Linked DNA regions of Cricetulus griseus. The protein of the gene in region 1 purifies or fractionates together with the protein of each later gene. This does not show direct contact. Links are inferred from orthologs where the notes say so. Each region holds a gene or a part of one and is shown on either strand. Other genes may lie near its edges.

Region 1 (4,389 bases):
TACCCTCAGTTTGATTCTCTTCTGACATCAAAGACTACAGCAATGTGACAAACCTGACTCAGCCACTCCCTCCCACCGTTTCTGTGGTGAGCAGGGTTCCCAGAGCGAGGAGGGGCTATAGACCAGAGGGCAAACTAGGGGCCCCTTCCTGCACCTCCCCATGCAAGTGATTCCCAGGTGCTATTACTCCACCCCTGGGGACTAGCAAGATGGATCTGTGGGTAAGGACTCCTGCCTTGAAGTATCTGATGGCCTGAGTTTGGTCCCCATGAACCCAAATGGTGGAAAGAGAGAATAAATTGTTCCCTGACCTCCAGATGTGGTCCCCAATAAATGTTTTTTTTTTTAATTAAATTGCCCCCTTTCATCTTGGAAGTGTTGACAGAGTGCCTCTATTTGTCCTGGCACTGTGCTAGAAGCTGGGAGTCTCGGGGATGAGGCAAACTAAGTCCCTTCAACTTGACCTTGGAACCAAGGATTCAGGGACACGGAGATGGAAAACAGAAGTGAAGGGGCAGAGGCACCGGCAGGGACCGGAAGGCTAGAAGCCTCTACCACATCTAAGTCCGTTCTCCTCTGAGTACTCAGACTAGGGCAGAGCCATGCCAGAGGGTGGAGCCGGGCTGCTGAGAGGCTGACAATAGGGCAGGTCACAGACGCTGCTAGACGGGAGGGATCCAGCTTCTGCTGCAGTATTCCCAACCCTGCAGTTCTCACGGCTCGGAGAGGTGGGGGTACAGCTGGGCTGAAAAGCGGTCTCCCCAGCTGCCCAAGACCCAGGACACATGGCCATTAGAACAGGCACCCTAGTGCGCGCTAAGCAGACACCTCAGGCAGCAGCCATCCTTATCCACCAGAATTGGTCCCTCCCCCGGGATTCCCGCCTCCCCTTCCGATAGAAGAAGGGCACCAATTCTTGTTGGGATCAGACCACAGGTGGGGTAGAGTGGCCAAAGGGTCTGATCCATTACCAAACACCTGCAAATGAAAGCTCGCTCTGGTGGCTTCCCTGGCTACCTTTTAACCTCTCCTTCTATTTCTTCCTCAGGTTCTCAGCAAGGCTTTTCTCATAGCCCACATTATAGGGTCCTCCTGTTTTGAAATTCTTCTCTCCCCTAGGCCCCTTGCCATGCTGGTCCCAGCCCGAAATAACCCTGGTCTCCTCCCTTCCAGATAAGGAGATCCCAGACCAGGGGGGTGCTATAGGAAAGGGTCTCTTAAGTGGGAAGAGCCAGGAACAAGGGGAGTTCATGTGGGTGGGTGGGGGTGTCAAGCATGGAAGGAGTGAATCTGAAGACTCCCTGCCACACACCCCAACTGGAGGAAAAGATGGCCTGCAGAACGGGAATTCGTTTTCCCTCCCTCCCCACTTCTCTTTCCTTCTCAGCGTCACAGCAGCCGCCTGACTTCTTCACCTGACACCCGACCAGCCCACCTGGCCAGCATCAGATCCGGAGGGCATTGTGCGTCCTGCAGGAGTACCCTGGAAGAAGATGCCTCCGGCCAGGGCGCGCTCTCCCTGCTCGCAGGATTTGCTGGGCCCCTCCTCCCATCTCCCCACGCGGCTGGAGAGAAGCAAGTAGGCATTCTTCTAGAGGTGGACCAGAGTATAGGCTGGACTCATCTCAAGGAAAGACGCCAGCCGGCCCGCACTACCAAAACAGGGAGAGAGGAGAAAGAGGGAGCAACTCCAGCCTTAGTGTCTATCTCTAAAGCGATCTGTTCAGGGACCCTCTCAAGATGCCAGAGGCCCAAGCCGGCCACCTCACAGCCTGGGGCTTGAAACTGAAAACTTTTCAGTGTGCCCCTTCTCTTTCCTTCCCTATAGAATCAGAGATGCGTGGGGCGGTGCCCTTAGAGACACTCATACAGTTGGTTCTGGACGCTTACGCTCACTCAAACAACAGCAGTGAGAGGGAACTCCCAGCTTTTTCCACAGCTAATTATAGACGTCAAAGTCTGAGGATGTTTTGTAAGCCGCAGAGAGAAACTGCTGAGGTTTCTATGCAAAGCCAAAGAAATTTAATTTGTGCACTCCTGGTTCTCACCCTCCAACTTCTCCTAGCCTATCTCCACCTTATGCGCCCCCCCCCCCCCCGTGAGCTCCCTCCTTGGCGCTAAGGCCTTCCTTCCCGCTGAAGATTTATTTGGTCCTATTTTTCCCATCTCTCTTTGGGGCTTTCGAGAAAGGGAACAGACGCGGAAAATATTTTTTTTCCGCAACAGTTTTCCATTCTGCGGCTGGTTCCCAAGCCGAGGGGGAGGGGGAGAGCAGGAGCGGATGGGGGTCGGCTGGAATAAATACTTGTTCCGAGAGCTTAATTTGGGTGAGAAAAAGGCAGTCCCTCCATTTCCCCACCCATCCCATGATCCAGAGGAAAACGCAAAGGGATCACTTGTTTGATTAGATGGTTCTTCAGAACCCAGGGAAGAATACAGTGTTGAAGACATTCTCATTTTCTCCCCCCACCTCTGTCTCCTATTCCACCACCCCACCCTCCCAGAATTTGCTAGCATGAGGAAATTCGGATACTTTGAGAAGCTATTGAGAGGAAAGAAAGAAACAAAGTTTGCAAATCCCAGAGTCAATTCATTCTCTGCAAACCTACCTCTCTTTCTAGCAAAGATTCAGGTGTCTCCAAGCGGGACTCTCCCTCAGCGTTTCCATGGACCGAGTAGGGTGGGGTGACCACCCACCGCTCTCCCCAGTGTGGCAAACCACCTAGTGATGCTGGCTTTGCTCTCTGGCCACAGCTGGGGGAGTGGACTGAGTCTTCTTCCCCAGCCCTTCCACGCGAAGGACCTTCCTGGAAGAAAATGGGTGCAGGGAGCTGGGCGGGTGTCTGACCTCGCCGTCTTCGGAGGGATGGTCCCCCAGGAAGTTCGTACTCCCACCCCACCCCCAGCCTAGGACGGTCTCAACAGAAGAGCTGTCTTAAGAAAATGCTTGTCATGGCAACAGCTCCAGCCAACTCTGGCCAGACTGGGGCTCCCCAGCTCTCCCCCAGCAGGGCGGGAGGAGAAAGGGGCGGAGCGCGAGCCGGCGGGGGTGGGGTTTGGCGGGAGGCCAAAGCATTGCTCAGCTCTTAAGGTAGCCCGAGAGCAAGGCGCGGCGGAATGATGCTTCTTGGTCCGTCTTAAGGGGGAATGGGGAAGGGTAGGGGGAATCCTCTGCCCTCTTGGCTTTCTCCCAGCGCTGGTTCTTACTTGTTGAAAGGGGAGCAGAGCAGGCGTGGGTGTGGGTGGAGGTGGGAATGGATGTGGGCAGCGGTCTTCAACCGTTGCTGCGTGGAGGGGAAATAAAGGAAGTGTCTGCAAGCCATTCTGTTTCCTGCAGCTCCTCCAGGCCTCTCATTCTCATACTGATTTAGACTCAGGACCACGAAACCTCAGGAGGCTGTGGGCATCTGCCCTACTGACCCAGTCTGAACTGGGAGTTCACTGTCAAAGACGAGGCAATTGCTCAGGGTGCCCACACACATAGGTGCCTCCTCACCCTCAGACCCAGGTCACATCTTGCTCTCTCTTGCTTGTGTACCCAACCAAAGGCATGTCCACAGGGCATAGAATGGCTGCTCGCCTGTGTGTGGCTGAACACCCAAATCTTTGCATCTACAATATCGTTTTTAGCCCTGGTGGCAGTCTCAAAAAGGTACTCATTACTGTCCTGGTTTCATGGTTGAGGAAATTAAAGATTGAGCGACTTGCTCAAGGTTACCCATCTGGTTAATGACAGCCAGGATTCAGGGGCAAGTCAGATCAGACCCATTCCAGAGACTATGTGCTTCCCTATCCCTGTATCATACTATGTCACACATTTCCATCCTAGCGCGTACACACTGAGACATCCGTACACACTTAGACACAGCCTATAAACTGTTAATCACACCCCCGTGCCACACACCCACCAGCATTGTGCAACAGTGCCACCCATAGCTTTTGCATGGAACCTTATGGCTTTCAAGTACAAACATGCACCATCAGCTGGCTCACACAACACATCTTCATTGACGGATACATTCCCACACCTACCTCAGCAGACATACTCACTCATGTTTACATGCTTATGAAAGGCAGGCTAACACAACCTCACAGGTTATAGAGTACTGTATAGGGGAAGAAGGGGATTATTACGGTTCCCCAACCTATTAATAGAGCTTCAAAAATGCTCCAGTACCTAACCAGGCATGGTGAGTATACCTGTAATCCTAGCAAGCAGAAGGCTGAGACAGAAGGACTGTTAGGAATTTGAAGCCAGCCTGGGCTACACAGTGGGAGCCAGGCCAGCTATAACTACACAGCAAACAAGAGCCTGTCTTGAACAAATAAACAAAGACTTGTGTGCAAGAAGAAACAAAGCCTAGAAGAAGACCAAGAGCGCTTCCCAAC
Region 2 (4,334 bases), on another chromosome or scaffold:
AAAAGGTTTTACCTAAAACTGTGGTCTTACAAATCTAAATATTTATATGAAAAATGAAGTCTACTTGAATCCCTATGGTAATGGGTCAGAATCCTTTTGGAGTTAAAAGAGATGCTGTGGGTCATCTAGACCAAAATCTTCATTTGAGGACTAATGAAAACAGAAGCCTTTTCAGAAAGTTCTACATTCCTAATCTAAACGGCCACATTTTCCGTCCAGAAGCAGTGACTCTACCACTGATTTTCCAAAGCATTATTTTAAAGAGATAATCTGTATGTCTAACATTTCAATATCATATGGAACATGGTATCTCTTTCTGAAACACTGTACAAAAAGTAAAACCTTTAGGACATGAAATCAGACTATTGCAAGACTATTATCAACAGAAAGCTTAAATATTTCCACTGAGACACATTACAGAAAGTTTTAAAATGGCATCCTTAACCATATAAACTCAAAAGTAACCATTTCTTTATTGAATTCAATTTACATTCATTTGGGTCAACTATGGACTCATCGTCACTTTACTAGTCTTGTCACGTGACTAAATCCAAGCTCATTTCAAGGGAAAGGCTGTACTATGCTGTATTTAGAACATATTATCACTAAGAGCAGCCAGATGAGTCTTTGTAGACCTATCCAAAAGCCTTGCCTTAGTTGCTAAGAAACTACAATTTACCATATTATAAATCATCCAAAACAACTTATGCCAGCACAGATTAAACATCTACCATCAAGAATCTCTCACCTACAGCACAAAATGAAACTGCTACTTCCACAAATAACTGAAATCAGAATTAGAGTCAAGTCATATCACATAAATGACTGGTAGAGCAAGCAAATCAGGCTAACTCTACCATTTCCCTTCCACAGCTTTGTACTTAAGGAAAATGGGGTGGGGGTGCCCACATCCTTAGGATATTCAATGTAAGAGACAGAAAAATGTTTCCCTTTTGACCCATGAAGAAACAAAGCCATAGGGCATAAAATTCCCTAAGTAGAATGATAGCGCTTTTTTTTTTTTTTGTCTCAATACTGTATTTTCGCTGTAACCTCTAGCATTTTAAGGTCGGTTTCTCTTCAGAACCCTCAACTCCACGGACTCTGCGTGATTTTGTTTTAATGAAAGCCATTTTAATTTCAGACAAGAGCAATTTTAATTGTTTTAGTATAACAACGAAGAATGAGGAGATTAAAACTAATTTATGTCTCCCTACCCCAACCGACTTCTTATGATTTTTTCATATGAAAAAATCTTTAAACCTCTTAATAGTTGTTTCCACAATAACTGAAATAGGCTCATTATCCTTTTAAGTTTGCTTCTGAAAGATCAGTTCAGCAACAGAACTGTGGCAATGCTGTCAATCAGAATCCGTCAGGTTTAGCTCCCCCATGCCTATTATCCTTCATCATCTTCTCTAAAAAGCTTCAGCTCGAAACCCAATTTTCGCTTCCACTGTACCTTAAACACATCCCAGAGGCCACATTCATATTCCACAGAAATGACATCTTTTCAGTCTTGAAACTTTTAAATCTCAAAAGCCCACTTCCTCCATTTCCCTGCCATCACTCAACTGCCCTCAATCCCACCACTGCAGATGTAACTGTCCCAGCCCTCCCCAAAGGCCAAACCTACATCATACAGCATTTGCCACAACTCATCCCCTCCCTAATGTATCCACCACGCTGCAAAGCAACATTACACCCCCGACTTCCTGCATTTTACTCCCTTCCCTTATTTTTCGTCTTCCCCAACACCCACCTCTATACCCAGGCACCCTTTACTTCTCTGATGCTTCCTCTACCTCAGTTTTAATGCTTTCCCCCCATCCTCTGCTCATTTTCCTCTCCTTATTTAGAAACTCCCTTTTGCTTTCCCAACCGCTACCCTAGAATGCCCAGCACTCCACCCTCTTTGGCAAAACCCAGCCCTCTTCCCCCAGCAGCTCGTTTGGAGACACTGCTGCTTCTCTTTTCCAGGTCCCCCACTGCAGTCAACCCACTCCATCATCTTTCCGCCCACCTTCCCTCTACCCCCAAATCCAAGGTTCCCCGAATCCCTTACTAACCCCTCTCCTTGGAGACTCAAGTAGTGGCTCCCGCTAGGTGTTCTTCAGGATCCTTTTCACCCCAGCTTCCCCCTCCTCCCATTTTCCAGGATGTCACTAGGGTTCCGGGGCCCCCGTAGAATCCCGGTGTCAGCGCCTGCAGAACCCGGTTCCCTCGCCGCCAACACCCCTCTGCCGGCTCGAACTCGAACGCCTTCTCCAGAGCCGCCCCCGCTACTCCAGCTCCTGGTGAGCGCAGAGCCCCACGCCGCGCGCGGACCTGTCTCCAGCGCCCCGGGCTCGCAGCACAGCGACGCCTCCACTCTCCACGAAGCGCCTCCTCGCTTCAGCCCGGCCGCCCGGCCGCCCGCTCCCGGCTCCGGCATCCCCTTCAGGCCTGGGCCCGGCCCCTCTGGTTGCCGGAGCCCGGCGCCCCCGCCCGGCCCGCCCCCGGCCCCTCGGCTTACCGTTCTGAGCAGCACCTGGCCCTGGGAGGAGCGAGCCAGAGACCAGCAAGAGCGAGAGGGCCAGGGCGCTGGGGAGCGAAGAGCCCGACATCCTCCCGAGCCGGAGAGCGCGCAGCGAATGGGCCGGGCCGGGGCCGGGGCCGGGGAAGGGAGGGGAGGGAGGGAGGGGGCGGGCGAGCGCGCGAGGGAGTGAGTGAGCGAGGCAGCGGCGCCCCAGCTCCGTCCTTCCCCGTCCTCCTCCTACCGCCGCAGCGCCCAAGCCTCGCGAGACCTCCGCTGGCGGCCGTGGGCGGTCCAGGAGCTCCGGCGGCAAGGCTCGCGAGAAGAGGCTCGCGCCCGAAGTCCCCGCCCCTGCGGAGGCTGATTGGCCTAGCGCAAGGGAGCTCACATGCAGAGGGCGCTTCTGGCCACGTGATGGGGCGAGGCGGGGACTCCACCCGCCCGCCCGCTCTCCCGCGGGGGAGGCCGTCAGAGAGCACGGCGGAGTACAGTTTTCCCCTCGGTGGAATCCTAGTGCCCGTAAATGAGAGGAAGCATTGAGTAAACTGTCTCTCCTCCACCCATACTGCCTTTCAAGCGTTACCGCTCTAAACTTCAGAAATGGATACACCAGACCCCGCTAATAAGCTTCCTGTCATCGTCCCTTATCAAGAACTTGCTATTCTTGCTTCTGGACTTTGACCAGAGACCGCTAGAGCTATCTGGCCACAACCTCTCTGCCACATTTTCCCCTCCCGGGCAGTGTTACACGCTTGCTGTGCCTTCCTGCGCGGACATCTGTTCCCTCTGCCTTCAAGTGTCCTCCTTTTCCTCCCTACCTGTGCCATCCCCACCCCCCTTTGGCCTTATTTTAGCTTCACAGACTCTGAGGGCCCGAAGTTAACTAGCCTAGTTGTAGGGCCATAGAAAAAATTCTACAAGGAAGTCATATGTCAAGTGATAGACAGAATCTTTGGTAGAGAAACCTGTAGAAAATAGTTTCCAGTCAGTTCACAGTGGATTAGGAAGAGTCAAATGACCCATAGGAAAGGGGCCAGAAAAAAAAAGGCCGGGGGGCGTGGGGGGGGGAATTTAGCCATGTTGCATGGAAATTTGAGAAATGCCTCCTTTGGGAGAAGGAGGATATTGGGGAGATGCCATGGTTGGTAAAAATGCTTGCTGCACTAGGATGAAGACCTTCCCCAGCATAAAAGGGAAAAGATGGCCATCAGGCCTGTGGCTTTCATCACAGGCTGGAGAGGTGGAGAACAGGAGGACCTGGAGCTTGCTGGCTAGCCAGCCTAGCCAGTTGGTGATCTCCAAGTTCAGTGAGAAACCCTGCACTCTACTGAAGTGGAGAGTAGTTAAGGGAGACAGCCAGAAGCTGCCGTCTGGCCTCCGAGTGCATGCAGGCTTGCTCACACACAAACACAGATTTGGGGGACTTGGCTTATTGTTTTTTTTTTTTTTTTTTTTTTTTTTCCTGTACCACCCTCAGCACTTGTGGTTAACAAAGAAGTGTTCTCTGTGGCTTAGGTCATCCCTGAGTCAGAACAGGCATCCTCGGGTGTGTCTATGACTTAAAAATGAGGAATGGTAAACTGGCCTGCCGACCTGACTTTCTTCAAAGGCTTTGGTGAATCTGGAGGAAGGAGATCCTCACAGCCTCTCCAGCTTTCCTGGGAACTAGACAACTAGTGGTTATAGACTGAGTCTTCCAGTAAGGGCTAGGGCTACAACTGTGGTATGCACAAAGAGGAAAGGCTGTTGTTTTAAGCAGGTTTTTTGGTGTTTTTTTTTTTTTTTTTTTCTTAACAAAGGCCATTCTTGCGGCCATCCT

Evidence for each region.
Region 2: the proteins of Atp2b4 (region 1) and Nptn purify together in Homo sapiens (co-immunoprecipitation; 3 studies listed by BioGRID and IntAct, with this or other methods). This does not show direct contact. The link is inferred for Cricetulus griseus from reciprocal best matches to the Homo sapiens genes ATP2B4 and NPTN.

What each region holds. Positions count from the first base shown.
Region 1 is NC_048598.1:55,393,633-55,398,021, reverse strand, and holds the start of Atp2b4 (plasma membrane calcium-transporting ATPase 4), read right to left. Parts: upstream 2,986-4,389; 5' UTR 2,610-2,985; intron 1-2,609. UniProt on the Homo sapiens protein: Calcium/calmodulin-regulated and magnesium-dependent enzyme that catalyzes the hydrolysis of ATP coupled with the transport of calcium out of the cell. By regulating sperm cell calcium homeostasis, may play a role in sperm motility.
Region 2 is NC_048597.1:170,169,533-170,173,866, reverse strand, and holds the start of Nptn (neuroplastin), read right to left. Parts: upstream 2,843-4,334; 5' UTR 2,607-2,842; coding exon 2,516-2,606; intron 1-2,515. UniProt on the Homo sapiens protein: Probable homophilic and heterophilic cell adhesion molecule involved in long term potentiation at hippocampal excitatory synapses through activation of p38MAPK. May also regulate neurite outgrowth by activating the FGFR1 signaling pathway.